Cricetulus griseus: one gene and its partners. The protein of the gene in region 4 purifies or fractionates together with the protein of the main gene of each other region. This does not show direct contact. Links are inferred from orthologs where the notes say so. Each region holds a gene or a part of one and is shown on either strand. Other genes may lie near its edges.

Evidence for each region.
Region 1: the proteins of Lin28a (region 4) and Larp4 purify together in Homo sapiens (affinity purification with mass spectrometry; 3 studies listed by BioGRID and IntAct, with this or other methods). This does not show direct contact. The link is inferred for Cricetulus griseus from reciprocal best matches to the Homo sapiens genes LIN28A and LARP4.
Region 2: the proteins of Lin28a (region 4) and Rbm28 purify together in Homo sapiens (affinity purification with mass spectrometry; 3 studies listed by BioGRID and IntAct, with this or other methods). This does not show direct contact. The link is inferred for Cricetulus griseus from reciprocal best matches to the Homo sapiens genes LIN28A and RBM28.
Region 3: the proteins of Lin28a (region 4) and Ythdc2 purify together in Homo sapiens (co-immunoprecipitation; 3 studies listed by BioGRID and IntAct, with this or other methods). This does not show direct contact. The link is inferred for Cricetulus griseus from reciprocal best matches to the Homo sapiens genes LIN28A and YTHDC2.
Region 5: the proteins of Lin28a (region 4) and Trim71 purify together in Homo sapiens (affinity purification with mass spectrometry; 3 studies listed by BioGRID and IntAct, with this or other methods). This does not show direct contact. The link is inferred for Cricetulus griseus from reciprocal best matches to the Homo sapiens genes LIN28A and TRIM71.
Region 6: the proteins of Lin28a (region 4) and Ebna1bp2 purify together in Homo sapiens (affinity purification with mass spectrometry; 3 studies listed by BioGRID and IntAct, with this or other methods). This does not show direct contact. The link is inferred for Cricetulus griseus from reciprocal best matches to the Homo sapiens genes LIN28A and EBNA1BP2.
Region 7: the proteins of Lin28a (region 4) and Dhx36 purify together in Homo sapiens (affinity purification with mass spectrometry; 3 studies listed by BioGRID and IntAct, with this or other methods). This does not show direct contact. The link is inferred for Cricetulus griseus from reciprocal best matches to the Homo sapiens genes LIN28A and DHX36.

What each region holds. Positions count from the first base shown.
Region 1 is NC_048595.1:396,447,141-396,450,765, reverse strand, and holds part of Larp4 (la-related protein 4), read right to left. Parts: intron 3,415-3,625; coding exon 3,259-3,414; intron 1,909-3,258; coding exon 1,833-1,908; intron 1-1,832. UniProt on the Homo sapiens protein: RNA binding protein that binds to the poly-A tract of mRNA molecules. Associates with the 40S ribosomal subunit and with polysomes. Plays a role in the regulation of mRNA translation.
Region 2 is NW_023276806.1:198,657,871-198,661,495, forward strand, and holds part of Rbm28 (RNA-binding protein 28), read left to right. Parts: intron 1-3,270; coding exon 3,271-3,429; intron 3,430-3,625. UniProt on the Homo sapiens protein: Nucleolar component of the spliceosomal ribonucleoprotein complexes.
Region 3 is NC_048595.1:192,996,831-193,000,455, reverse strand, and holds part of Ythdc2 (3'-5' RNA helicase YTHDC2), read left to right. Parts: intron 1-1,361; coding exon 1,362-1,539; intron 1,540-3,625. UniProt on the Homo sapiens protein: 3'-5' RNA helicase that plays a key role in the male and female germline by promoting transition from mitotic to meiotic divisions in stem cells.
Region 4 is NC_048595.1:19,276,029-19,280,404, forward strand, and holds the start of Lin28a (protein lin-28 homolog A), read left to right. Parts: upstream 1-1,482; coding exon 1,483-1,513; intron 1,514-1,974; coding exon 1,975-2,171; intron 2,172-4,376. UniProt on the Homo sapiens protein: RNA-binding protein that inhibits processing of pre-let-7 miRNAs and regulates translation of mRNAs that control developmental timing, pluripotency and metabolism.
Region 5 is NC_048597.1:221,619,555-221,623,668, reverse strand, and holds the start of Trim71 (E3 ubiquitin-protein ligase TRIM71), read left to right. Parts: upstream 1-1,224; coding exon 1,225-2,037; intron 2,038-4,114.
Region 6 is NC_048595.1:33,706,532-33,710,948, forward strand, and holds the start of Ebna1bp2 (probable rRNA-processing protein EBP2), read right to left. Parts: upstream 2,835-4,417; 5' UTR 2,764-2,834; coding exon 2,698-2,763; intron 2,618-2,697; coding exon 2,534-2,617; intron 2,347-2,533; coding exon 2,174-2,346; intron 1,665-2,173; coding exon 1,541-1,664; intron 436-1,540; coding exon 346-435; intron 94-345; coding exon 18-93; intron 1-17. Other genes in the region: Cfap57 (cilia- and flagella-associated protein 57), read left to right, coding at 3,337-3,493. UniProt on the Homo sapiens protein: Required for the processing of the 27S pre-rRNA.
Region 7 is NW_023276806.1:89,642,358-89,645,982, reverse strand, and holds part of Dhx36 (ATP-dependent DNA/RNA helicase DHX36), read right to left. Parts: intron 2,839-3,625; coding exon 2,721-2,838; intron 1,907-2,720; coding exon 1,808-1,906; intron 502-1,807; coding exon 328-501; intron 172-327; coding exon 85-171; intron 1-84.

The DNA of each region.
Region 1 (3,625 bases), about 380 Mb from region 4:
ATAAACCAGTATGTAAGAACCTTAATTATTATTAAAAGTATTATATGAAAAAGGAATTATGCTCACATCTAATTCCAGCACTAGGAATGAGAAGGGGTGAGAATTCAAGACCAGGATAAGCTCGGAGTGAATTCCAGGTCAGCATTGGCTACAGAATAACACCTTGTTGTCGTTAAAAAAAATAAATTAAAATCTAATTAGATCAGCTTATCACAGTTGTGACAGTGCATGCTTATAATTCCACAATTCCTAGGGTAGCTGAGGAAGGAGAATCATGAGGGCTTCTTGGGTTGCTTAAGTATGTCTCAAAAAAAACAAAACAAATACCATAAAAAAAAAAAAAAAAAAAAGAAGTGTGTTTCCTTGTGGTAAAATGTCAATTGCTGGATGCAGAACAACTGGTGGAATTAGTGCTGGGATAGGTTGAGTGCGTGACTAGTACTCATGAGGCCCTGGGTTTAATCCTCAGCACCACTAAGGAAAAAGGTGGGGTGGGGCCAAGAGAATTAAAAAATCACAAAATAGTCATTTCATAACCATAAAAAAAACCCAAAAAACAAAAAACAAAACAAAAGTTATTCATATGAGAATCAGGGCTGAGGATAACAGCTCAGTAGCACATTTAATTATCTAGCATGTGAGAGGCTCCAGGTTAAAGATATGGGGGGTAGCCTGGTGTGGCAGTGCATGTCTTTAATCCTAGCACTAAGGGGGCAGATCTCTATGAGCTCTAGAAAAGCTAGAGCTAAAGTGAGAACCTGGTTCATAGAATAAAAATTAAAAAAAACTAAAAAAGAAGAAGAGGAAGAAGAGGAGGAAGAGGAACAAGAAGAAGAAGAAGAAGAAGAAGAAGAAGAAGAAGAAGAAGAAGAAGAAGAAGAAGAAGAAGAAGAAGAAGAAGAAAGTACATAATAAAATCTATGCTTCTGAGCCATAAGGTACATACCTTTAATCCCAGCACTCAGGAGGCAGAAGCAGGTGGATCTCTAAGTGCGAGGCCAGCCTGGACTATAGAGTGAGTTCCAGAACAGCCAGGACTACACAGAGAAACCCTGTCTTGAAATCCCTCCTTTCCCCCAATCGATACTTCTAGCCTAGAAGAAGCTTGAAAAACTGGTTCACCAAAGACTGGAAAATTTTTCAATTATTTTCTAATAGCCTTTGTTTTGTTTTGTTTGAGACACGGTCTCATTATGTGGTCCTGGCTGTCCTGGGTCTCTCTATGCAGACAAGGCCAGCCTTAACTTACAGACTCATCAGCCTGCCTCCCTAGTGCTGGGAGATTAATAGTGTGCGTCATAATGCCCAGCTGTAAACAGTCTTTATATAATGAAATTTTAGGATATCTGAGCAACAACAAATCTCTACACAAGTCTCACCTATAAATAAACCATTTTTGAAACATTGGCCTAGAAAGACTTTATGTTTAAGGGAAAACAATATTAAAGACTCTCTGTCTATCTCTTTAGGGTCTTGTTAAAATTACTCTGTTCAAAAGTTTTAAGAACCAACTTCTAAAAATTTAAATTGAGGTATTTTCCTTTCCTTTTACGCAACCAGTTTTTAAAAATTAATTTCATTTAGTGCGTTTGGAAAACTCTGTCTAAATATGGTCCTAGGAAAAGTATTCAATAGACAGTCACTATCTGCTAGGAAAGGATAAATCCAACGAAAAGCTATACTTTTAAGTCTAGATAAGAAATACATTCAAGAATTATAGCAAAATCTATGACTGAAGGAAATAACTGCCTATTCCACAGGCATTTTATATCTACTCATTAAAAACAAAACAAAAAAAAAAAGAGGAGAATATCAATTAAAAAGATCTGTACCGTGAGAAACAGAACTCTAATTGTTTTTTCAGACATTCTTTTAAATCTTCTGTAGAAATTGTTGAACTGCTTTCTCCTAATGGCAGAAAACAAGAGGGAGAAACTGTTAAAAGTTGTCACAGGTGAAACTTACACATTATATTCAGAAGTCACAAAGCAGCCACAAATTAAAATGTACCAGAACTATTTAAATCAAGTCTAATTTCTTCCAACTCATGCTTTTCTCAGCAGCACTTCATCTTGACTGAAGAATTCTCTTATTGATCTGGGGCTGAACTCCAAAATACAGTGATAGAGTATTCATCTAGCATATGTGTGGCAACAGATTTAAGTATTGTCACATACATAGTTCATACTTACGAGGGCTGGTAAATGCTCAGTCAGTAAAGTGCTGTCACACACAAACACAAAGCCAAGTTCGCATCTCACATACACACACACACCACCAAGAAATAACAAAGGACCATTAATACTAAAAGCATTTGACTACTATGTTGTTAAACATTGCCCTAATCTCACCGTAAAAATGAGAGAAGCAGGCTGATCTCTGAGTTTGAGGCCAGCCTGGTCTACAAAGTGAGTTCCCAGACAGTCAGGCTATACAGAGAAACCCTGTTTCAAAAACAAAAAAGTGAAAACCACCCAATTCTTCAATGGCAACATAAAACAAGAAACCCCAAACATAACTAATGGTGATCTAAATTTAAAGATAAGAACTAAAGTGGGATATATGGTGTTTATGTAACTGTTTTACCAACAACAGATCTAGTGTTGAATCACTCTCTTTAACTTCTCTTTTTATACATTTTTTTTCTTCGTCTTCATTCCTCGTTTTTTGCATGTTCCGTTGGTTGGTTTTGATTTTTTGAGAGAGTATATAATGTAGACTAAACAAACTTCAAACTCACTATGTGGGCAAGCATGACCTCGAACTCCTGACTCTTCTGCCTCTACTACCAAGTGCTGAGATTAAACTGCATAGGGTAGATCTTACTATGCAGCCCACACTGTCCTTAACATAAGCCACAGCTGCCCATCTTAATATATCTTCTTTTCTTAAAATTAATCTCTGAAACACAACACTTATTTCAAAATAAATTTCATGCTGACAAAAGTGGCAGAAAAATTGATAAAACTGCAATGATCTCAACTAATCAACCAAGAAACGCACAACTTTTTGCAATTTGGATTTCTCTTAACTACTTTTCCCTGATATCTTTAACAGGACTTCAAAAAGATTCTTCCTCTACAAATTTTATGTCTGGGTACTATTCAACAGCATTTTTAATAATCATCTAATAGTTGCTTATCATAAGCTTCTTTTCAAAAAAGAAAACAAACTGATCAGTGTCATGTTTATTGAGACAATAGAGGGAGAGCTAAGGATACTAAAGTTTCATGCTAGCAATTAAAAAATAAAAGTTACCAGAAACATCGTATATTTGGTAACTCAGATCTTCAGGTCCTAAAATCATTCCATCAGCTGACTCTTCAATGTCTGAAGTATTCCTTGTGGTCTCACAAGTTGGAGAATACATTACTTCATATTCCTTGCACATATCTTCTGAAAGTTCTGTGTTACCTGTTTTGAAGAAAGGATATTGAAAGTAAACAGGAAGTATTTAAACCCACCTGCAGGAACTCAAGTCATGTCCTCTAAAAAAAGGTTTCACAGAACTGTACCAAGTTGGAAAAAATGTCACCATGGCTTAAGTTAAGAGTTATTTCTGAAGGGAGACAAGTTTTGACCATTATGGATAAGTTAGCATTTTATATTTTCAACTGCTCATATA
Region 2 (3,625 bases), on a different chromosome or scaffold from region 4:
ACTTGGGCCATAGAGCAAGACTCTGCTGTTGTTTAAAAAAGGAAGACAAATAAAACAGAAATAAAATTCTTACAAATACTCATCCTTTACCATATATGAATGTACTTTTATTTATTTTTTTAAATTCTGGTCAGTCACTGCTGGGTAATCTGCAGTTTAAGAAACATTTATCAGGCCTGGCGTTGGTGGCGCATGCCTTTAGTCCCAGCACTAGGGAGGCAGAGGCAGGTGGATCTCTGTGAGTTCGAGGCCAGCCTGGTCTACAAGAGGACAGCCTCCAAAGCTGTCTATTCTGTGAGTTCCAGGACAGCCTCCAAAGCCACAGAGAAACCCTGTAGAGATGGCTGCTCTTCCAGAGGACCCGAGTTAAATCCCTGCACCCACCTGGCGGCTCACAACTGTCTGTCACTCCAGTTCCAGACATACATGCAGTCAAAACCACCAGTGTACATGAAATAAACATAAAGGAGGGAAAGAAACATTCCTGTTGGGGGAGGCTTGGCAGGATGTCTTAGAAAGTTAAAAGCACTTTCCACCAAGCCTATCAGAATCAGAAAGAACCAATTCGTGCCAAGTTGTTCCCTTCCCTTTGAACACAAATAAATAAATGTTATTTTTTATGTTGTTGTTGAGCCAGGAGTGGTGGTATGTGGTATAATCCCAGCACCTGGTATGTAGAGGCAGGAGGATCAGGAAGTCGAGGCCAACTTGGGTTATATAAGACCCTGTCTCAAAAAAACAAAAACAATAAGAAAGAAACATGGACTTCCTTTTTCCTGCTGCCATTGCCAAGTTTCAGGGAGACAGAGTTCAGGTGCATTCAAGATTCTGCTTCACCCATAACCCACCACCACAGCTGGGGACGGTATTGCCGCTGGAAGTGTGATGGACATTAATACCGTTTTACAAGTGGTGCCAAAGACCACCCTTATCCACCATTGCCTAGCATGTTGAATTTGAGAAGTTACCAAAGCCTTAGAAAAGTGCTGAGTCCATCTTCATGTAATAGTAGTTTTGTGGACCTTACCTTAAGCCTGGTGTACTTGGTCTAAATTCTTAACAATCTCTCATGCCCCGTTTAAGAAAAAGTATGGACTTCCCTGTAGGGACAAGTGAGGTGTACTGGAAACAAGTGTGGCACTCCAGTGGGGTTAGAGGGGTGGGCATGGAGGTGAGGTGGCGTTTTTCCTAATGGTGCTGGCGTGACCATTCTTACGATTGTGAAGATTCTGAATGTGTGTGACAGTTGTTTGTGGAGACATAATTATTGTATATACCTCTTGGTACATTAATCCCCCCCCCCCCCCTTTGTATTTTGTTTGTTTTTCGAGATAGGGTTTCTCTGTGTAGCCCTGGCTGTCCTGGAATTTGCTGTATAGACCAAGCTGGCCTAGAACTCATAAAGATCTGCCTGCCTCTGCCTCCCGAGTGCTGGGATTAAAGGTGTGCGCCCCCACCACTGGTCTGAACTTCACATTTGAGTCGCTTTGTTTTTGGTTGTACTGATTGAGAGGAGGGTCTTGTTTTGTTTTTTTTTTTTGTTCTTATTTTGTGAGTTATAGGCTTTTGTGAGAGAAGTTCCAAGAGAAAAGAAATCAATTTCCATGTCACAGTTTGCTGTCCCGGTGCCCCATGCCAGCTGTGCAGCCACTTTATATAGATTATTGTCCTGTGTTATATCGTATGTGCTCTGGAGGAGATAAAACAGAACACAGAGTTGTTTCTTATGCAAGTCATGGGCAGACATCGACATTGGTTTTTTTGTTTGTTTGGTTGGTTTTTGCCCCCCCCTTTTTCTTGTGCAAGAAATTAATTACCATTTTACTATTAACACCCTCCTCCCAAAAAGGCCATGATGAGTAATTATACATCTTTTTGGTCCTGATACTCTTCTGTGTGGCATCTCATGAAAGACCATGAGGCAGGGCAGTGGTGGCCTTTAATCCCAGCACTCAGGAGACAGAGGCAGGTGGCTATCAATGAGTTGGAGGCTAAGCCTGGTCTACAAAGTGAGTTCCAGGACAGCCAGGGCTGTGACAAAGAGAAACCCTGTCTTAAAAAACCAAAAAAAGAAAAAAAAAAAAAGAAAGAAAGACCATGAGGTTGGCAAGGAGGAATTAACATAGTTCTTTTTTTAACATTCTTTTTCTTTTTCTTTTTTTTTTTTTTAAGATTTATTTACTCTGTATAGTGTTCTGCTTGTATGTATGCCTGCAGGCCAGAAGAGGGCACCATAGCTCTTTATAGATGGTTGTGAGCCACCTTGTCGTGGCTGGGACTTGAACTCAGGACCTCTGGAAGAGCAGTCAGTGCTCTTAACCACTGAGCCATCTCTTCCCAGCCCCTAAAATTATTTCTTAATTTTATGTGCCTGGGTGTTTTGCCTGTATGTGTGCCTTTGCATCATGTGTATGCCTGGAGTCCTGGTGCCGGTGGAGGTTGTTGCATCCCCTGGGACTAGAGTTACAGATGGTTGTGAGCCACCATGTGGGTACCCGGAATTGAACACCAGTCTTTGGAAGAGCAGTCAGTCCTCTTAACCACTGAGCCTTCTCTCCAGCCCCTTAGCTTAGTTTTGACATTCACTTCTCAAATTACTCTTTGGAAAGAAGGGGTGGTATTCATGTTACCTAGCTTGGAGTGTCCTGAAACTAAAAATGAGGCCAGGAGTTTATACCTTCTTTGGAAGTATTTAATTAGATACTGAAATGCTAAGGTCTTAATGACATAATGGTTTTATAGGACCTTACTCATTTATTGCTATTATCTTCTAAGATTGCATTATTATAATCTGATTTTTCAAATCTACCATATGTATTTGGTAATCTTTCATAGTTTAAAATTGAATTCTTCAAGGCCTAATGTATATCATGGGCCCCCATATTCTTAAGATTATCAAGGCTGGGGCTGGAGAGATGGCTCAATGGTTAAGAGCACTGACTGTTCTTCCAGAGGTCCTGAGTTCAATTCCCAGCAACCACATGGTGGCTCACAACCACCTTGGATAAGATCTGGTGCCTTCTGCTGGCATGCAGGCAGAAGACTGTATACATAATAAATAAATAATAAAATCTTTTAAAACTAAAAAAAAAAAAGACCAGAATAAGAAGAGGCAGTAAGATATTAAATTGGAAGAGAAAGGAAGCCTTATAGTCCCGAGTAAAGTGGGGAAGGATCCCAGCCTTGTTTCTTTTCCTTTTGAGACTTGTGTCTTTGATTGATTGCTCACAGGCCTTTGCTCTCATTTCCATCCTTCTTGCCTTGTTCTAGGGAGCAAAGCATGCCGAGGCTTTGGCTACGTCACTTTCTCCATGCTGGAAGATGTTCAGAGGGCGCTCAAGGAGATCACTACTTTTGAAGGTTGCAAGATCAACGTGACTGTTGCCAAGAAGAAACTAAAGAACAAGTCCAAGGAAAAGAGGAAAAATGGTGAGTTTCTAGTAATTTTTCTAAGAGGAAAGAAGACACTGAAAACCCCAGATGGTCAGAAAACTGAGAGACAGCTTCAGAACTTGAGCTAACTGGTTTTCTTTTTGTTGTCAAAACCCCTCTGGTATGCTTTCATAGTCATTCACTTGTATCTTGGTCTGGAAAATCTGGTATTCCTGGATATTGCACACTTGAC
Region 3 (3,625 bases), about 170 Mb from region 4:
TTTTAGATGGTATTGGAAACCTTATACTGAAACCAGAATATACTGTCTGATTGTACCACAGAGTACATACTGTACATTTTTTTAAAAAATTAAAAAGCTTAAATGATATGTTCATGATATTTATAGAATTTTAGAACAATCTTAGAGTTCATTAAGATAACTTTAACAAATAAATTAAAGTTCAGTGTCATGCACAGAGTTATATGTTCATTTAGTGTTATTCTAATATATAGATTTCAGTCTCCTCTCTCTAGTGCAGTATTCTTTCCGTGTCATCATACTATTATTTTTAAGTCTATTTTATGCAATACTATTTCTGATTTTTCAAAATGTGGTTTTACCTCTTTTTTAAAATGTATCCTATAGTCTGAGGTTGTTTGTTATTGTTGTCTTATATGGGGTGTGTGTGTGTGTGTGTGTGTGTGTGTGTGTGTGTGTGTGTGGTGTGTATGTGTGTGTTGCATACACACAAATACATATGTGTGTGCCAGTGTCAGAAATTGATATTAGGTGTCTTCTTTAGTAGCTTTCCACCTTCACTTTTGAGACAAGGTCTCTCAATGAACTTAGACCTCACTAATTTGCCTGGCTGGGGAATGAGATCCAGGGATTTGCCTTTCTTTGGCACCCTAGTTCTAAGATTACAGAACCAGCTTTTCTATTGGTACTGGGTATTGAGATCAGATCCTCGTGATTGCATGGTAGATTAGTTTCTTTTATGTTGCAGTGATAAAATACTTGACAAGGAAAACTTAGAGAGAAGGGATTTACTTTGACTTACATTTCCATGATGGATAGAGTCCATCATGGTGGGGAAGACATGGTAACAGGGAGGAAAGGCATAGCAGGCATGGATGTAGGAGCAGGAAGTGAGCTGGTCATATTTCCTCAAAGAACAAGAAGTGTAGCGAGAGCTTGCCTTCAGTGGTTTACTTCTTCCAGTAAGGCTCAGCTGTTCAAGTATTCATAACCTTCCTGAACAGGATTGGTTATCGGTATTCAGACAGAAGAGCATATGGGGGCATTTTACATTTGAACCAGTAAGCATTTCACTGAGTTGAGCCATCTTCCACCTCTCTATTGTTTCTTATATGTGTATTTACTTACATATTACTTATTTATTCATTGTTGTGCTGGGGATCAAACCCAGGGCTTCAAGCATACTAGGTAAGTTTTATATCACTAAGTTACACTCCTACCCATTCTAGTTCATTCTTTCTTTCTTACTAATGTAAATAGAAAAATGAAATTCCCTTAAAAGTATTCCATAAATTATATGTCATTGAGATTTTGTTATGAAATAGCATTCCCTTTGTATTATAAACTCATGTATAACTGACTTGTGCTTCTTCTTGCTCAAGAGTACTGATGAAATCTCCATCTCCAGCCTTACATCCACCTCAGAAGTACAAAGACAGAGGAATTTTACATCCTAAGCGGAGCACTGATGACCGATCAGATCAATCATCTGTGAAATCTACAGACAGCAGCAGTTACCCAAGTCCTTGTGCTAGTCCCTCTCCTCCGTCCTCAGGGAAGGTAGGGCATCCACAATCTATAGTAAGGAGCTGGGTTCACAGCACATTTCATGTACGTAGTTTTACACAATTATAAAACTTGTACTTTTGTAGCTGTGGCCTGTGTTCTAATTACTACCACTTATTGTATTTTAAATGTGATTCTTTATTGATGGCAGATAGCCATGCAGCTCATTTTTTTTCTTCTTTATTTCTGTAGAATTTTTTGGTTAGAACAAAAATACTGCCTTGATAATTTTGTTTTATAATTCTTTCAAGTGTTTTCTATAGCTCAATGAGTATTTTAAACACATAAAAATTAAAAAAATATGAAAGATAGAAATCTTTGATATAGAATTGAAAACTGCCTTAAAAATGTGAGTGGTTTCACACATATAGAAAGTGTTTACTTTTACTTGTGTTACTAGTACATGAATAAGGAAGTATTTGATTGAGAGTTACTTGTGTTTGGTGAACAATGTCTGCTGAACACTTGCTAAATAAGAAGAGAGTACATTTTTATTCTTACATTTTATTGGGGGGTTACTTTAAACCCCTTTGTTAGGTATACTTTGTTCAAAAAACTTACTAGTTTATGGGCCACTGAGATTGCTCAGTGAGTAAAAGTGCTTTCCACCAATCCCTATGACCTGAGTTTGACTCTTGGGACTCAGATGGTAGAAGTAGAGAATGGAGTCCTGCAGGTTGTCTTCCTACTTCCATATGAGTATACTGTGTCGTGAACATACCCCTCCTCACACACACAAAGAAATATATGTAATAGAAAAATTATCAGCTTAAACTGAACAACTTAGGTGAATTTTGTCAAGTGTATATAATTGTAATTGTACCATAGTCATATACAGAACATTTTTATTACCTTTGGTAAGCACCCCAGTAAGCACTGCTTATTTTTCCTAAACATCTTATAAGTGGAATAGTGCTGTTTTTGTGTCTAGTTTATTTTACTTAATGAATTGCTTTGAAATTCACTTATGCTGTTAAATTTAACAACTATGTTTTTCTCTGAGTAGTATTCCATTGTATGGATATGCCATAGTTTGTTTACACATTTACCAGTTGATGTGGACATTTGGGTTATTCTACTTTGTATTTGTACTAAAAGTGCTATAACATGTGAATGGAGCCTTTGTATGCAGATGTTTTGTATTTGGTGTTGGATCCTAGGAGTGGGATTGTGGGTCGTATCATAAATGCTTGTTTAGCTTTAAAAATAACCTCCCCACTGCTTTTCAAATTGGCTGAACTAGTTCCCATTTTAACAATCTATAAGAATTTGTTTTGTTCCATATTGACAAAACTTTTCATTTTATAACTTAGTCATTCTAGTGGATTATATAATGATAGTTCCTTGTTTTAATTTCCATCTCCCAAGTATCTGTTGATGTTCAACGTCTTTTCTTGTGCTCACATACCATTCTGTGTATAGTTTTTGGTGAATTATGTTTTCAGATTTTATTTATTTTATGCTGTTCTTTATTGGATATCTTTTTAAAATTAAGTTATAAGAACTTTATATATATATTATATATATATATAATATATATATATATATATTTAGAGCAATTGTTTTTAACATGTTTTGCAGATTTCTTCCCTAACCTACAGTATGTTTTTTTAACCTTCCTCTGAAAAACAGCTCTTTATAGCTTTTTTTGGTTTGCTTTGAGAGAGGTTCTCACTCTAGTCCTGGGTGACCTTCAATTTGCTATGCATACCAGGCTGTTCTTGATGTCACAGAGATCAGACTGCAAGTGTTACGGTTAAAGTCATATGTTACCATGCCCTTCTGTTTTTAGTTTTGATTGGATCTATTTCTTCAGTGTTTTTTTTCCACTTAATGACTTGTACTTTTTGTGTACTGAGAAATTTTTTCATAATCCAAAAATTAGAGCTCTTACATAGAGGTATGTGATACTATTTTGAATTAATTTTTATCATACAGATAATTTTTTCTTATCTATACAGTTGTTCTATTATCATTTTCCAAAAAGATCACCCTCCCATTAAATTATTTTGGCATATGTTATGAATATTTTGATCATAAATGTGTGATCTTTCTGTTGGATTCTATTGAGTTTCATTGA
Region 4 (4,376 bases):
TGAGCACCGGAAGTGAAGGGGCAGGGCCAGGGCTGTGCACTGAGCCCCGGGCCATTGTCCATCTCTGACCAGGGCAGCGGCCACCCCCGGTCCACCCTCTTTATCTTCTAGTAGGGAGTTTACCTCTTCAAATGAGAAACCTCCCTATCCAGTCCTTCCACCAGCCACACTACGGGAGGGTAGCGCAATTTAGGATGGTGACTGAGAACAGGAGGGTCTGGGAACCAGAGGGTCCCGGGTACTGCAGGAAGTGCCTCCACCCACAAATCTGTTGCCCTCTGCCAGCAAGGGGTGGGACAGGACGGGACGCGGCGGACAGGATGAAAGGCCGCTAGCTATCACAGAGGGCACTCTTCCAGGGTCCCCCTTGCTCTCCCAGGAAGCTCTCTACCTGGGACCAACTTAGATGCAGGCTTGGAAGGAAGCAAAGGATTCTTAGCACAGAATCAACTAGGAGCTTGTTTCTGATTGGGACAAACCCAGCGAAACTGAGGTTGAGACTTGGAGATGGAGGCATCTAGTTGTAGTCAGAGGCAGCCGGAGTTTGAGGGGCAGCGCCTAGGTCAAGACAGATGTGCTCTGTGGGGTCTCCAGCCGCTTCGCTGCACCCCTATCCTGACTTCCTAGTGTCCAGAACTCCAGGTCTATCTAAGCACACGGGAGTGGGGGGTGAGAGCAGGTCAGCGACAAGCTGCCGGGTCAGCTCAGAGGCCTGAGGGGGAAGGGGGGAGGGGCGCTGAGGGGCTGGGGGAGGGGGAGGGCTCATCCATTTCTCCCTTGACAGGTGGTTTGTGTTTCTGATTGGACAGCGCCACCAGGCTCACACCTCCCTCCCCCAACTCTCTGGAATGTATAATTATCTGCCCGGGGGGTGGGGGTGGGGTGCGTGTGTGTGTGTGTGTGTGCGCGCGCGCGCGTGTGTGTGTGTGTGTGTGTGTGTGTGTGTGTGTGCTTGTGCGTGTGTGTGCTTGTGCGTGTGTGTGTGTGTGTGTGTGTGTGTGTAGTCACGTGGTTACAAAACTACCCCCCTCTCAGGTCCCCCACCTGTGTCTGCATTGGGTACCCATATTGAGTCCTCAAAGTGCAGGATCCCAAATTCTGGGGGTACTCAAGACTTCTAGGGCAAAAGACCCCCGTTTCCAGATGTGTGCATGTGGAGGGGGTGTCAAATCTCAAGGTTCTGGGAAGGGACACCCCAGAGGTGTCAGAGACCAGAGCGGTGGGGGAGGGCGGGAGCCAGAGCCGGAGGGAAAGGGAGGGGTAGGGAGGGAGGGGAGGGGAGGGGAGGGGGCTGCCCGCGGGGGGTTGGGTCATTGTCTTTTAGAATTTGGGAGCCTTTGAAAAGCCGTGGGCCCTCCCACCGCTATTGTGCGGGGGAAGATGTAGCAGCCTCTTCTCCGAACCACCCCTTTGCCTCCGGACTTCTCTGGGGCCAGCAGCCGCCCGACCTGGGGCCCGGGGCCACGGGCTCAGCCGACGACCATGGGCTCGGTGTCCAACCAGCAGTTTGCAGGTTCGAGCTTACGATTTAGCGGGCACACCTTAGGGTGCAGGGCGCCCACGAGCTAATTAGAAGGGAGGTGGGAAAGTGTCCCACGGACTTGCCCGCGGGACCCCAAGTCCCTGCGGCCTCCTGCTCCTTGGGGCCATCTGTGGGACAGGGAACCCTGGTGTTCCAGTGGCTTGTGCGCCAAGCCCGCGGGGGCGGAGGGAGCGAAGAGGAGGGGCCTGTCCCGCCGCGTGTGCACCGGCAACATGTTGTGGGAAGACAAGCAAAACTTTCGGGGCATCAGCATCCTCGGTGTGAGCTTGGGGCGGCAGCCAGGGCAGGTTTCTTCTTACCAGCTGTTTGGTAGCTGCCTCCTCCTGGGTGTCTATCCGCGGGCTCAACACCGAGGTCTCCCAGACGGGTACCGGAGAGGGCCCTGTGATTGCCTGGCCCCCAGCTGATCACCTGGCCCTCCCTGTCTCCAGGTGGCTGCGCCAAGGCAGCTGAGAAGGCGCCCGAGGAGGCGCCGACTGACGCGGCCCGAGCCGCAGAGGAGCCGCAGCTGCTGCACGGGGCCGGCATCTGTAAGTGGTTCAACGTGCGCATGGGGTTCGGCTTCCTGTCCATGACCGCCCGCGCCGGGGTCGCGCTCGACCCCCCGGTGGACGTCTTTGTGCACCAGGTGAGAATGATTCCGGTAACTTAGCTAGGAAAAAGGAAAACTGGGAGTTACATATATGTGCTTGGCTGATGGCCGCTCCTGTTGGATTGGAGGAGATAAAGGACCCTCATTGTGCGTCCCTATCTGCTGGGACACCCCAATTTTGAGTTTGAGTAACTACGGTGGAGCAAGGAGGAGGCACCACTGGTTACCAGCACCCCCTCCCCGCCCCCTTCCGGGAACCCCTCCGGCTTACCACGTGTCTATTACCTCTTTCCCCTGGGAAGGGAGCAGGGGGCAGGGAGGTGACCCCATGTGGCAGAAACTAAGGTTGTATTGTGCTTGCCGGTGGGGGAGGGCGAGCAGGCTGATCAGGGAAGCACATGCAGGGCCTGAGCCGGGCGCTAGCGCCTTGAGTTCTGAATGTAGTTTCCAGGGCAGGAGAGGTGGGTCATTTGCCACCCTACCCACGGGCATGAACCTGCGAGGTCAGGCTGTTCCCCCTGATTGAGTGCAGACCTCAGTCCGGTGGCCACCCAAAAAGCCAGGTCCCGTGGCCAGTATAGATTCGGCAGATCCCGGAAGGATCAATGTGTGGGCTGAAAAGCCCCCCTAGAGGGCTGGATTTCAGTTCAGGACTGGCAGGCACCTCTGCTGCCCACCAGGTCCTGCCAGGAAGGAAAACCGTAAGAGCCCAGGCCTTCATTCCTGGATGGGCCAGTCTAGGAGACTTGGGTCGGTGCAATCCCAAGTTCTCAGTTAAAGAAGGGCTGCGCAGTGGGGAGTGAAATTCAGTGTCGAGGGGGCAGGCGGTGGAAGGAGGCTGGCCTCTTGCCCTATTCTCCTCAGCTTGGCATTTATGGCCCCAGACAGCCATTGATTGCTGTCCCTAACATTCCTAACCCTAAACAAGGAAGGGAGCCTTCAGGTTTCACTGTTATTCGCCTTACCCTCTCAACATCCTATGGACGTTCAAATGGTCCCCATGCCTCGGTGGGAAGGAGGTGACTGCTGCTCCCCCTTCCAGATTTGGTGGTTAAGGCAGGACCAGGAAAGAAGAAATTGCTAATCCCTGGCCCTGGAGCTTGACACCCGGTCCGGGCAGGGAGGGGTTACTTCAGGGAGGTTAGCTTTAGGAGCTGTGGGGGAGGGGAAAGGAGGATGTGGGGATTAAGAGTTGGAGCCTCAGGGATGGCGTTCTTGAGGGGGAGGGGTAGGGAAGGAGATGCTGGATCGACTGGTTGGAGGCTAGAGACTAATGTGAAGACTGAGCCCTACCCTCCAGTCAGGGGGTTGAGCAAGGGCAACTAGGTAGATTTGGTTTGAAGGAATTTTGGGAGCAGCTCTTTGCTGTTGGTGTCATTGGCTTCTGGAACGTGTGTTTAAGAGACCCGCAGCAGCAGTACCCTTAGCTACTTTCTTGACCCCCCCCCCATCACTACCACCAGATTGCTGGTTTCTGCATGGTGGCTTTGTGCCCCCTTCTCATTTACATATGTGAACGATAACCCACAGGAAGTAATTGTGAGTGAGAAGGGAATTGACCCCTTTGGATCTATTAAGTCACTTTATTACAGGAACCAGCTTTGAATGGCTCTCCTGCTTCCCCCACTCTCCCATTTATCTGATCACAGAGATTAAAATCTTTCCTGGTCTGGAGATGGGCTGGACAGCCTTCCCAATTTTGGGAGGCTGGGATATAAAGTAGGTATAGAGCCTTCTTGACTTCTTCCAAAGGCTAAGGAGGGAGACACTAAGGAGCATGTACCCTCTGCTCTGGGGTTCCTTGGTAGTAGAACAAATTGGAGGGCTGTGCCTCAGACTTAACCTTAGGATCCATAGCAATTGGAAAGCTATAGGACGCCACTGGAGGAAAGCAACAATCTCAATACTGACCAACTTGGAGATCTATGTCCACCAGCCCAAAATTGAAGTTTTTATGTGTTGGTTTCCTGTTTTCTTTCTGTTTTTGAGACAGAATCTCACTGTCTAACTTCGGCTGGCCTGGAGTTTGCTCTGTAGACCAGACTGGCGCCTCTAACTGGAGATCTGCCTAACTCTGCCTGGATTTGGGATTAAAGGCCCATTGGCACCCATATTTGAAGAAGTTGCCTCCCTAACCACCACTCTCCCCACACTGTAGTTGGTGTGTTACCACAGCTCATGATGGTGGTTGGGCTGGTTCACACTCCAGCATAATTTAGGCTGGTAACCTGAGTTATCTCT
Region 5 (4,114 bases), on a different chromosome or scaffold from region 4:
TAACCGGCGTACCGAGAGGCGGCAAAGCGGAGAAAGAAGGGAACACGCGCGCGCACGCTGCCCCCCGTTCAGGGGAGTGGTGCAAAAATAAATCCCCAAAGCAACCCGGGAGATCAGGGCACCGGGAAAGCCAGAGCCCGGTAGGCGCAGCGCAGCCGGGGCCACCCGCGTCCCCGCTCGGCGACTCGTTTGCAGGAGGATGACGCAGGCGGGAGCCGCGGGCGGCGCTGGCCACGCGGCTCCTGAAGTGGCCGCGCGGGTCCCTCGCCGGCTCCTCTGATTCCAGCACGCCCGGGAGGGAGGCTCGGTCCCCGAGGCTCCGGGATTGCAGGGGGGACCCGAGCGAGGGTGAAATGGCCCGATGACAAAGGAAATGTGATCCCCCTTCGCTGCCCAGGTTTCGGAGAGGACGGCCGTGAGGAGGAGGGGCGCGCGGCGCGCGCGGAACGCGGATAGCATTGCACGACGGCCCCGCGCGGAGCGGGCGGCGGGTACATCCAATATCTTCCCGCCGATGAATAATTCAGGGCGGCCCGCGGGGACCTGCGGCCCCGCGCCGCGGAGCGCCTGAGGCCGGAGCAGGGTCGGAGCGCGCGCTAGAGAGAGCGAGGAGGAGGCCCGGGGACACGCGGGCGCCGGGAGGGCCGCGTGGGGCGCGCGTGCGTGTGAGCGCACGGAGACCGCGGCCCGGCCGGGCTGCGCAGAGGCGCGCAGTGCGTGGAGCGCGCGTGCGTACTTGGCACGCGTGCTTCCGCGGCGGGCGGGCGGGCGGGGGCCCCGCACGAGGTGCAGCTGCGCGCTCGAGCCGACCGCGCGCGGGGGAGGCTGCGCCTCGGCCGCCACGCAGGAGCTCCTGCCGCCGCGTCATGCGGCGGGGCGGGCGGCGTCGCGCGCGGGACTCGAGCTGCTGCGACTTCGGGGCGTTTTCCCCTCCCTCCTGGAGACTCAATCCGTTTAGCCCGGGGCAAAGGGAAAAAAAAAAAAAACAACACGCGCAAGACTCCTCAGGACCTTTTTTTTTTTTTTTTTTTTTTTTTTGCGCTGAGGGGACTGGATTCCACGGCGGACTTTGGGACTTGGGCGGGCGCTCGCTTGCTGCCGAGTGGCGGTGCATGCCTGCCGTGCCGAGGTGGCCCGGGGGTCGCCTCCACCGCGCCCTCGATGCGCTCTGCTGAGTGAGCCGCGCGCCCTCCTCCTCGCCGCACGCCCTCTTCCCTCCTGCAAATGGCTTCGTTCCCCGAGACCGACTTCCAGATCTGCCTGCTGTGCAAGGAGATGTGCGGCTCGCCCGCGCCGCTCTCCTCCAGTTCGTCCGCCTCGTCGTCGTCGTCGCAGACGTCCACGTCGTCCGCGGGAGGCGGCGGTCCCGGGGCGGCGGCGCGGCGCCTGCACGTCCTGCCCTGCCTGCACGCCTTCTGCCGGCCGTGCCTCGAGGCGCACCGGCTGCCCGCTCCCGGCGGCGCCGGCCCCACCGAGGCGCTCAAGCTGCGCTGTCCCGTGTGCGACCAGAAGGTGGTCCTGGCCGAGGCGGCGGGCATGGACGCGCTGCCGTCGTCCGCCTTCCTGCTCAGCAACCTGCTGGACGCCGTGGTGGCTACCGCCGACGAGCCGCCGCCCAAGAACGGGCGCGCGGGCGGCGGCCCCGGGGGCGCGGGCGGCCACAGCAACCACCGGCACCACGCACACCACCCGCCCCAGCGCGCCGCCGCTCCGGCCCCGCAGCCGCCGCCCGGCCCGGCCGCCAACCCCGCCGCGCTTCTGCTGCGCCGGCAGCACGGCTGCAGCTCGTGCGACGAGGGCAACGCCGCCTCGTCGCGCTGCCTCGACTGCCAGGAACACCTGTGCGACAACTGTGTCCGCGCGCACCAGCGCGTGCGTCTCACGAAGGACCATTACATCGAGCGCGGCCCGCCGGGGCCCGCGGCCGCCTCCGCGGCGCAGCAGCTGGGGCTCGGGCCGCCCTTCGCCGGCGCGCCCTTCTCCATCCTTTCGGTGTTCCCAGAGCGGCTCGGCTTCTGCCAGCACCACGACGAAGAGGTGAGTGCGCGTGGGACGCGGGCGAGCGGAGCGGACCCTTTGGCAGACTTGTATCGTCCCCCTACCTCCCTTCCTCCCTCCCTCCCGACGTCCCTCGGAGAAAGAACCACGTCCCTGCGACATCTTCCTTCCCTGGGCATGTCCGAGGAGTCCCAAAACATTAGATTCCTTGCCTTTTTGTTTCTCATTTTTTTTGGGGGGGGGTTAGGGCTGATCGAACCCAGGGCTTTTTGCTGGGCAAGTCTACCCATGGAATTGGACTCCAAGCCCCTGGATTTCACTTTTATTTTCTTACTTAATTTTTGCATTTATTTGCGCTCGTGTGTGGAAGTCAGAGGATAACTTTCAGGAATCGGGTCTCTTTTCCCCTTATCTTGTGGGACCCGGGGATCGAAGTCGGGTCTTTCGGGTTTTGAGGCAAGTGCCTCTTGAGCAGTAAGCCATCTCGCCAGCCCAGCTTCATTAATATATATATTTTCTCCTGTGTGATAAAATGTAGTTGGTGTGTCCAGTTGAGCACGAGTTTGGAGGAGATAAATATGTTTGTGGAGTCGTGGATTCCTTTTGTATGAGTCCGCCAGAGGCCGCCCAACGTGCTGAGAGGGCTCTCCGGGGTGGGGAGGGATGGTTGAGGTGTGGACTTGCTTCTCACGTGTGTGTGCTGGGCCGGAGGACTTGGGTTAGGTTGGCATTTGCACGGGTTGGCGTTCACCGGAGTGTCTGTCTGGTTGTTGGTTAAAAAGCTTGTGGCTTTTTTTTTAGAACTAAGGAACCCCGGTGTTGAGTCCCTAAGTTTGCTTCTACAGTTGTTTTTCATGCTATGCGTAAAGCCTGCTCTGGTTGGTGAGTACCCACGTGCAATGACCATGTGGCCTCGTGGGGGCCCCTGAGAGAGCTGGAAGCCAGATTGGGACCACCGCAGTTGGGTCTCTTGGCGCTTTAACCATGCTTGGCCCCGTCTTCCATCTCGCGGGGCCCTGGGCGCTACCCTGCCCATCCACAGGTACTCACTCCACTTGGGCAGCGACCCCGCAGCTCGAACCTGGGGGTGTGCGGAAGCTGAGGGCTGTGCTGCTGCCCTCCGACCTGATTATCCCTTTGGACTCTTGATTTTTATTTCCAACTTGGATACCGGACCATCACCACCTATTAATACTAATATTATGCTATTCACTGGAAGCTCGTGGAGGCTTGGACCACCCTTGATGGGTTGGGTAGTCTCGTCTAGCTCTACCTGTACCCATGTGCGATGGCAGTGCTTGGTATTCCTGTCTCTGGGAGGAGGGCAGAGGACAAACAAGGCTTTCGAAATCCCGCATGATTTAGAGTGGGATTGTCCACACCGCCGCAGCGGGGTCCACTTTTTAACATGTTATTTGGGGAGGAGCCTTAAGTTGGAAAAATTGAAATTCTAATGCGAGGAAGTTACCTTTTTAAAAGGATTCTTCTGACGTGAAGTCGGTGGCTCACTCCCGTTTTCTCACACTCATGGTTTGATGTTTGTTTCTAGTATATTGTTTAGAAAATCCCTGAGCCAATTCACTGGCAGATTGGCATCAAATTCGAGGACGAGGCAGGGAAGAAAGCCCCCTGAATCCACGTTTGTTTTCCTCCATGGAGAGAAAGAGTTGAAATATCTTACTTTTCTTATTAATTTTTAGTCAAATATTCCATTTGGGCTAAGGCTGTAGGCATTTGGGGCTGGCTGATTGATAGGTTAACTGTAGCTCCCTGTGTGTTTATTTTGAGATAGGGTCTTTTTCTTTAGCCTAGGCTGGCCTGGAACTGTGTCACCTAGGTTGGTCTCCCTCCTGACTCAGCTTCCCAAATACTGATACTACAGATTTGAGTGAGTCACCGTGACTGGTTTCACTTAAAAAAAAAAACAAAAAACAAACAACAAAAAAAACGTTTTTGAGTAAGCTGACCAAATAATGAGTTGCTTGATGGCGTCTTCATAGGTGTGTTTTCCTAGCTGCCTTAATTGCCAGTTCTCTTGCTTAGATTTTTTTTTTCCTGCTTTTGTGTCATAAATACCTAGCTTGTGGTCTAATCTCGGGCCCCACGGTTTTTTGTT
Region 6 (4,417 bases), about 14 Mb from region 4:
ACACCCTTAGCACTGACCTTTCTGGTATTTCTTGATGGCATTCATCATATGTGCTTTCTCCCGTTGCCTCTTCTGAAGGACCTCAGTCTGCACCTGTGAGACAGACACAAGGTCAGTCATGCATCTCAAAACACGACTCCTGCTGCTACCTGCTGATATACTGGGTGCACCATGGTGCCCCATGGTGTCAAGTGAACCTGCACTCAGGGATTATGGTGGACACACTTCACCAGTAAGACTCACAGGACCAAACACACACACACCGGGCAAGAACCAAATCACACCACAGCAATCAGACCTGACATTCCTGGCCTTGTCCTATTCCATGCAGGTGTTCTTTCTTACCTTCTTTCCATACTTCCTAAGCGCTCGAAGTTGCTTGGCCTTTTCAGATTTCTCCATGGCAGCCTGTTTAGTCTGCAGCTTCTGTCGAATCTAAAACACAGGATGTTGTCAGGTATTATACAGAGTACACTAGACCAGGGCACCAGGATTCCATTAGCTCTGAAAGCCATGGATCTTGTGTACTTTCCTAGTTTTCCACATACAGACAATGCGGCCCCAAAGCTGAGCCCTTTATCCAGGAACCAACTGTCAGTGTGCAGATCTTAAAAGCAGCCCTGCCTCCTCAAGCACGCTTGTTCTCTTATATAAAGCTGCCTGTTTGTCACACAAGACCTGTTTTCTCCCAAGCCCATTTACAGATCAAGGCTAAACTTCAGTGCCCTCTTTAAGGGGTCACTGCACACTGATCCCTTGCCTCTCCCATCAAACACAAACATTTTACTGAAAGCATAAGTAGTCATCAGTGTTACTGTCAGGTTAATCTGGGCTTATCTCCAGGTTAGTTTCTTGGGGTACCACCTAGAATTCTCTAAGATGAAGACTGAAGCCAAGGGAACAATTTAAATACATCCTGGATTCCGAGTCAAGAAGTTTTTTTCCTCCCAAAGTTAAATGAGGATCAAGTCCCCCAACCCTAAATTACACTGTATCTGAGCCATCTATCAACCCCTCACTTTCTAGAAAACAGAGGCCCAGAGAAGAAAAACCTTTCTATAAGCAATAGTATTCTCGTTGGGCCCAGAACTACAAAACTGTTGTGTCTATACACCATGCCACTAACCCTGCCAAGAAGGGAATACAAGCCTTCTTTATCACAGGGACCACACCTCTTCCAGCTCTTCTCTCCGTTTTACCAAGTGACTGGCGTGCCTCTGAAGCAGAGACTCTCCATTAGAAATACTGATTACAGGGGCTAGAGAGATGGGTCAGTGGTTAAGAGCACTGGCTATTCTTCCAGAGGCCCTACATTCAATTCCCAGCCTCTACATGGCAGCTCACAACTGTTTGTAAACCCAATTACAGGATATCTTGACACCCTCACACCACTACACATAAAAAAATAAAGTAAAATAAATTACCAAAAAAAAAAAAAAATACTGATTACAGCCAACATAAATCCTTTTTAAAAACCACCAGCTGAATACTTCAGGGTGAAGCCCTGGCTTTCCAGAGAAAAAACTTGCCTGTCTCTTACCTTTTGCATCTGCTGGTCAGACTTGGCCATTTCTGCAAAATAATCTGTGGGTCGCTTGGTGGGGACTTGGAGCTGATGGAGCCGGGGTAATACTGCAAGCACTGCAGCCTGGGCCTGGCGGTAGCTGAAATTTCAGGACGGAGTTAAATGAGGGGTGAAGAAAGGCCTTCATTTCTTACTGCCTCTCAGGACTTAACTAGACTCAGGACTATCAATATCCCTCTGGCACTAGCAAGACAAAACAAAAACTGCAATAAAACTCCACTAATTTCATATAACAGAAATCTCATTTTACACTTATTTTTAAGGGGAAAATACTTCTAAGAATAAATCAACAGCTTAAAACAATAAGCTTATTAAAGGTACCATTAACATACAAAGTATGACCTCTTTCCCAATCATTACAAAGTCCCCTCGAAGCCTTCCCTAGGCAGTCTGCTCTGACTGGATGCACCCACACAAACTTTAAATAGCCCTTAGGCAGGGCACAGGTTAAATGATGACCAAGGAGCTATTCTTTCAAGCAGGAGGCACCCAAGGTTCGCGCTAACTCCTCGGTGTCTCTGAGGGGGGCAGGCATACTATACTCCCCTTCCCATGATTCTCTATCACAGGACTCATAACAAAACATACAAACTCATTTCCCTCTGGAAGTCGTCTTCTGGATTAACACCTTTCTTCTGGTCCTTGTTCTGGGGGGTTGGCTGAGTTTCACTGACTTCTGGCACTGGACCCAGGGTCACATCGAGCCTTTCAACCCACTCCAGATCCCGTCTGAATTCAGCCAAACACTGTTTCAGGCCATTCTAGGTAAGTCAGACACGGTGCTCATGAGAACCCAGAGTTTATCTCTCTCAAGCCCAAAGTGCTAAGCTCAAATACCAGTACAGCTCAAGGCACAGGGGGCATTTTTCTCGCAACAGTAGGTCTCCCAAGTAGCAGGGCGCCTATGCACACCCCATTCCAAGGACCCCAACCCGCGAGCGAGCTCACCACGTCATTCACCGCCTTCTTCGGCCTCTCTAGCACAACGTTGAGGCCTGGCTTCAGGAGTCCTCGGGAAAATGCATCCTGCAACTACAGACCCGGGGGCGTCAGTACCAGAGAGCTGGAGTTCCCGTTCCACGCCCTGTCCCGCGAGCCCCGCAGCCGCCTACCTCCCGGTCTGAGACCAGGGACTCTTCCGACTCCGCGTCCGAGTCTGAGAGCGGAGGGGTGTCCATCTCGCGATCTCCCGCCCCGCGGGGCGCGACAGCCACTCCACGTGCCCTGAAGACGAACCCGCGCCGGCAGCTTCTCCACAAGCCTCTGGCTTTTCGATCCGGACTTCCGCTTCCGGGTGCAGAGCCGCACTTCCGGTTTCTCGTTGCTATAGGAACCGCTCCGGTGTTTGGGCGTGCTTAGGTTGCTCGGGATATTTAGGAGGAGTACCTGCGGATCCCCGCTTGGTTTCGTAACCCAGGGTCGTGAAGCAAGAGGTGAGAGGTTTCTCTGAGGTCCTCTGAAGAGCCTGGGGTCGTTGAGGGAACAAGAGAGAAAGGCAAAGCGCGGAAGGAGCTGTGGGCGGGGGGAGGGGGGACAAGAGGAGGAGCCTGGGGGAGGGGCGACGAGGAGAGGAGTCTGGGGGGGGGGCAATGAAGGGGTGAGTTGTGGTTAGGGAGGGGCGGGCCAAAAGCGGATCCAGGACTGGGCGGGGCGGGGCCATGGGCGGGGCGGGGCCATGGGCGGGGGCGGGAGATGCAGTTCTTTCTCACCAGCCGCTGCTTTATCTTCAGCAGCACTTTCTGACAGGTACCATGTCCACCGTCGTAGCTCAGGCGCTGCATGTTTTTGGTCTTCGGTCGTACGTGGCCAACAATGTCTTCTTCTTCGATGAACAGATCATTATATTTCCTTCAGGAAATCACTGTGTGAAGTACAATGTGGATCAGAAATGGCAAAAATTCATTCCAGGTAAAAAGAAAGGGGGAAAAAAAAAACCTTCCCATCCTGTCACATATGTGAAAGGCTGTGCTACACAGAACCATGCAGTCTCAACGATTAGGAAGGTCTTTCTTGACAACTGGATATACATGTAGTTTTATAAATGTCAATTTGCACTGCTTAATTCTTAATTATAGACTAACCTGACACATGTAGTCAAAATGACTTGCATATTAACACTAATTTTAAATAATTTTAAAAAGTATTTTTTCACTGTGACTTCATAAAAGAGTTACTTTAAACAGTGTTTTTCTTGTATTGTCCTGCAGTGAGTTTGTCCTCACCAGAACCTTTTTTTTTTTTTTTTTTTTTTTTTTTGAGTAACAGTTTCAAGAATCCTTGTATGGTGGAGACACTGACAATTTTAACCCAAGTCACAAATAATCTTCCTTAAAACCTGACCCCTGTTTTTGTTTACATTAGTCCAGCCAATGATATTCATGACGCTTCCCCTACTTTTTTATCCCTTCACATGCAAATATAAAAGACCACAATACATATATGTAATCATTAATGAATTATTACTGTTAGTATTCAAGCATCTATCTGTACTGGCCTGTTCTTGGGGGCTCTGACAGGGTATGCCCTCAGTTGCAACCACTAAGAGCACCAACTGTACACATTCACTGTGTTCCCTTTTAAAAGGGCCCTGCCCACCTCCCATTCTCCTCTCTTTCTTTTCTCTCCCTCTCTCTGTCTGCCCTCCCACCCCCCATCTCTTTCCTCTCCCTCCCACTGCTCCTGTCCCTGGAGGCAGGTCTCCCCCCTCTACTTACCCTTTTTTATGATCCCTTTCCCTAATAAAAAAAAATCCCTCCACTTGGACTCTGTCGCATGGCATCTTTCTCTTGAGCGCCGCTTTTTAAAATTACAACTATTACACGAAGACCTGTG
Region 7 (3,625 bases), on a different chromosome or scaffold from region 4:
AATATATATATGGTCACTTATAAGTATTTTAAAATATGCTCTTGAATAATCTTTTATAAGCAGAACAAGGTTGTTTTTTCTTACCTCAAATGCATTCACAACTGTCAGGTGATCACTTCTGGTTTCCTTTGCCAACTCCTTTCTTCTTGCATCTGCAATCTTTTCTTTTCCCTAAAAGTAAATAAATAAATAAATAAAACAGTTGTAGCTTAAGTGTTTCTGACATAATAATGATGATGTCAGATGATGAAATTATAATGAAAAATACATGTCAGCAGTAAACAATCTTAGCATTAAAACTCCCAGCCTCTTTTCTGTCTTTCTTACCAGTGGAATGACAAAGGGATCTTTAAAGCTGAGACTGGCAGCAATAGTGAGTACTGGATCTAAGCAACAGAATAAAGCTCCAAACAGAATCATTTTTCCAATATGTGGCTCAACAGGTAATCTGGCTAAATGGACGCCAAGAGGTGTCAATTCTTCTTGTTTATCCAAAGCACTCTGAAAAGGAAGAAACTGCTTTTACAGTAGGCCTAGCAAAGCACTCCATCAAAAGCTACTGTAACTAGCTATAAAACATACAGGTCACTATTATTCTCTTAAGTCCCAAATGCCCCAAGCATTGTTTTAGATGCCTTCAACAAAATAAATAAATAAACAAATAAATCCTTATGTCAGCAAAGGCTAGTGACTTATTCAAACCAACAAAATTAATCACAACTTGGAAATGTTATATAAGAAATACAGAAAAAAAAAATCACTGTGGTAAAGCAGTTATAAAAAGGCAAAAAGTGGGTGAAATGCACAGTCCCTAGAGTCTAGTTTAGGTGCTATGATGCAAAAAGAGATAAGGGGCATACATAAAAATGACTTCTCTTCCAATTCTCTGGGTAATCTGGTTCAAATGAGAGCAGCTAGGAAAGTATCCTGAGGACACCAAGGAAATATAAAGGCATGGTTGGATCATTTACAGTGCTATTTTAAGCAGTTTACTATTTAAAAGCCTGTATCAGTGCTACAAAATCCGAATTCTTAAAGAATTATCTACATGGATAGCTCCCAAACCTGTGACATGTCTTTGGCACCCTCCAACCCAGCATAAACCAACATGATTTTGTAGATTAAAAAAATGCTCTTTCTCTATGTGGTCCAGTACAGTACAGAGAGATGTTGTAAAACATATGTGAGTATCACTAAGGTTATGAATTTCTAGTTGACTCATGATTGAAATTACCACATACAGCTGCAAACAGTAGTGTTCAACACTTTTCTCATCTCCTGTACTACTCTGGGAATTAATTCATGGCCAGTCCTGTACCCCTCAACATGGCCCCATGGAGGAATGACTACAACTACAGTCACTTTCTCAGAGCATAAAAATGAAATAACAAAACCAGAAAATCTTGTTTATGGAAATAAGTTATAATGGTGAATGACAGTTCAAGAATTGTTATAGCATCACACAGACAAGACACTTGTTCATATATATTTTGAAACATAAGGACTGCCTCTATCAAAAGTCCACACTATCATTAAAATACCTGAATTTGACAAGAGAGCATTATGGTAATCAGAAAGAGTAGAATAAGCCAACCCAGTTCAATACATATGAAGATCACTAAAAAAATTTTTCAAGATTTATGTAATTTAAATCAATCTTGCAATGAACAAAACTCAAGACTTGTATCTTAAAAACACAAGAAAAGCATCACATCAAATCTGACAGTGCTCTACTCTGGAGTAAGCTTCTAAGTAGCCAGTGTACATACTGTAACATGCTAAATACAAATACAAAAATAAAAATTACCAGTTCCATTAGGTGTTTTATGGAGAGCATTACGGCCTCATTTGATGGTGGATCCATTAACCTACTCAGAAAATAAGCAATTCCACCTAGCCTTAAAATCTGTGAAGACAAATAGTTAAAGATGTATCAAAAAAAATGTAAAAACATGTACTCAAAAGCTTATATAACATTTTCTAAGAGGAAATTAACTAGTGAGAAAAGTGATCAGATTAAAAAAGTTTCAACAAGTTGATTACTGATTACCATAGAAATAGGGTTAGTTGAGCATATATATATATAAACACACACACACACACACACACACACACACACACACACACACACACTATCTAACATTTGAAGATATAGTAACAGCTAGCCAGGACAGGCAGGACAGGACTATAATACCAGATACTCAGCAGGCTGAAGTAGCATGATCAACAATTCAATGTCAGCTTGAGCCAATTAAGACCATCTCAAGGTGTTAAAAAAAAAAAAGGAGAGGGGGAGGGTGGGCACGCCACACTTTGAGAATGCAGTTAGTTCAGTGGTAGAGAGCTTCTCTACCATAAAACCTCTGACTCACAAAAATTAAGTAACAGTAGCTAACATTTATTGACTATTATATGTCCAACATTGGTTTAAGAATTTTATACAGAAATTTTACATCAAGTTAAAAAATCTGCTCAATGAAGCAGAACAAAGTTTCTAGGTAGAAAATGAGAATCAAAGACAGGTCCCCTGATCCTAACATTGACAACTGTTCGATATACATCAGAAGGAAGTTCAAGGAGTTTGTTTCTTCACGCCAGCAAAATGAAGTTCATAAAAATAATCCCTATTTGTAGGGTCATACTATACTTTCTTCTATTAAAATGTTGAAAACTGTAATACCACCCTCCATTTAGGTTGTTAATTCTTCCAATTAATATACCTTTATTTGCAAACAAAGTTCTTCCAAAGGAGTTCTCAAAATTTCTGGTAGTTGGTAGTCATCCAGAAGACTTGCTCTAAGGCCATTATACAGATGATAACAATGACCAGGCTGAACTCTTAAAAAGAAAAAAGCATTAACAAGAACATGACTGTTAGAATGCCAAAGAAAGAACAGGAAGAGAAAGCATCCAGCATCAATTTCTCACAGCCTGTTACACACATAATTATTATTTCATGCTGCAAAACCCTATTTCCTTCCTGTCTTTGGAAAGACCCTAAACCCATGTCCAAATTTTACTTTGTTTTTGCTGTTCTGATTTCTTTCCTTTGTTAAACATTATTTTTCTTTCAATATATTAATATATACAGTACAATATATTTGAATATATATGTGCATTAATTAGATCAGTCCATTTGCATTTGTTATATAAGCCTTCAAGCACCCCTCTTAGTCCTTGTAAAGTATGTAATATATTACTCTGAAGTATGCTTGTCCTTCTGTACTACAGAATGCTAGAACTCATCTTGTGCTCCAGTTTCAGAAAGCAATGAAAGACATTTCCATCCACAATTTGGTTCCTATTTCCACAATTCCTCTGACCTCGCTCAAGTTGCAGCAGTCTACTCTGGTCAGGTTTAGAGCTGTAACACTAAATATACCTTGTAAGCAAACTTTATAACAAACCCTGCACTATGTTAGCCTGCATTTATTAAAGAACGTATTTAAATGTATTCTATTTAGTGAGCTCTCAGACATCGGAAACTCTTTTATGTTTGTGATTTCGTGCCACAACTGACTTGACAGAATTCATATATTTCTAAACAGAATAATATTTCAAGAGGCTCTCGCCACTGTAGAATAAAAGTTCTAAAACTTTCAGGGTTTTTGTTGTTTTTTTGCCT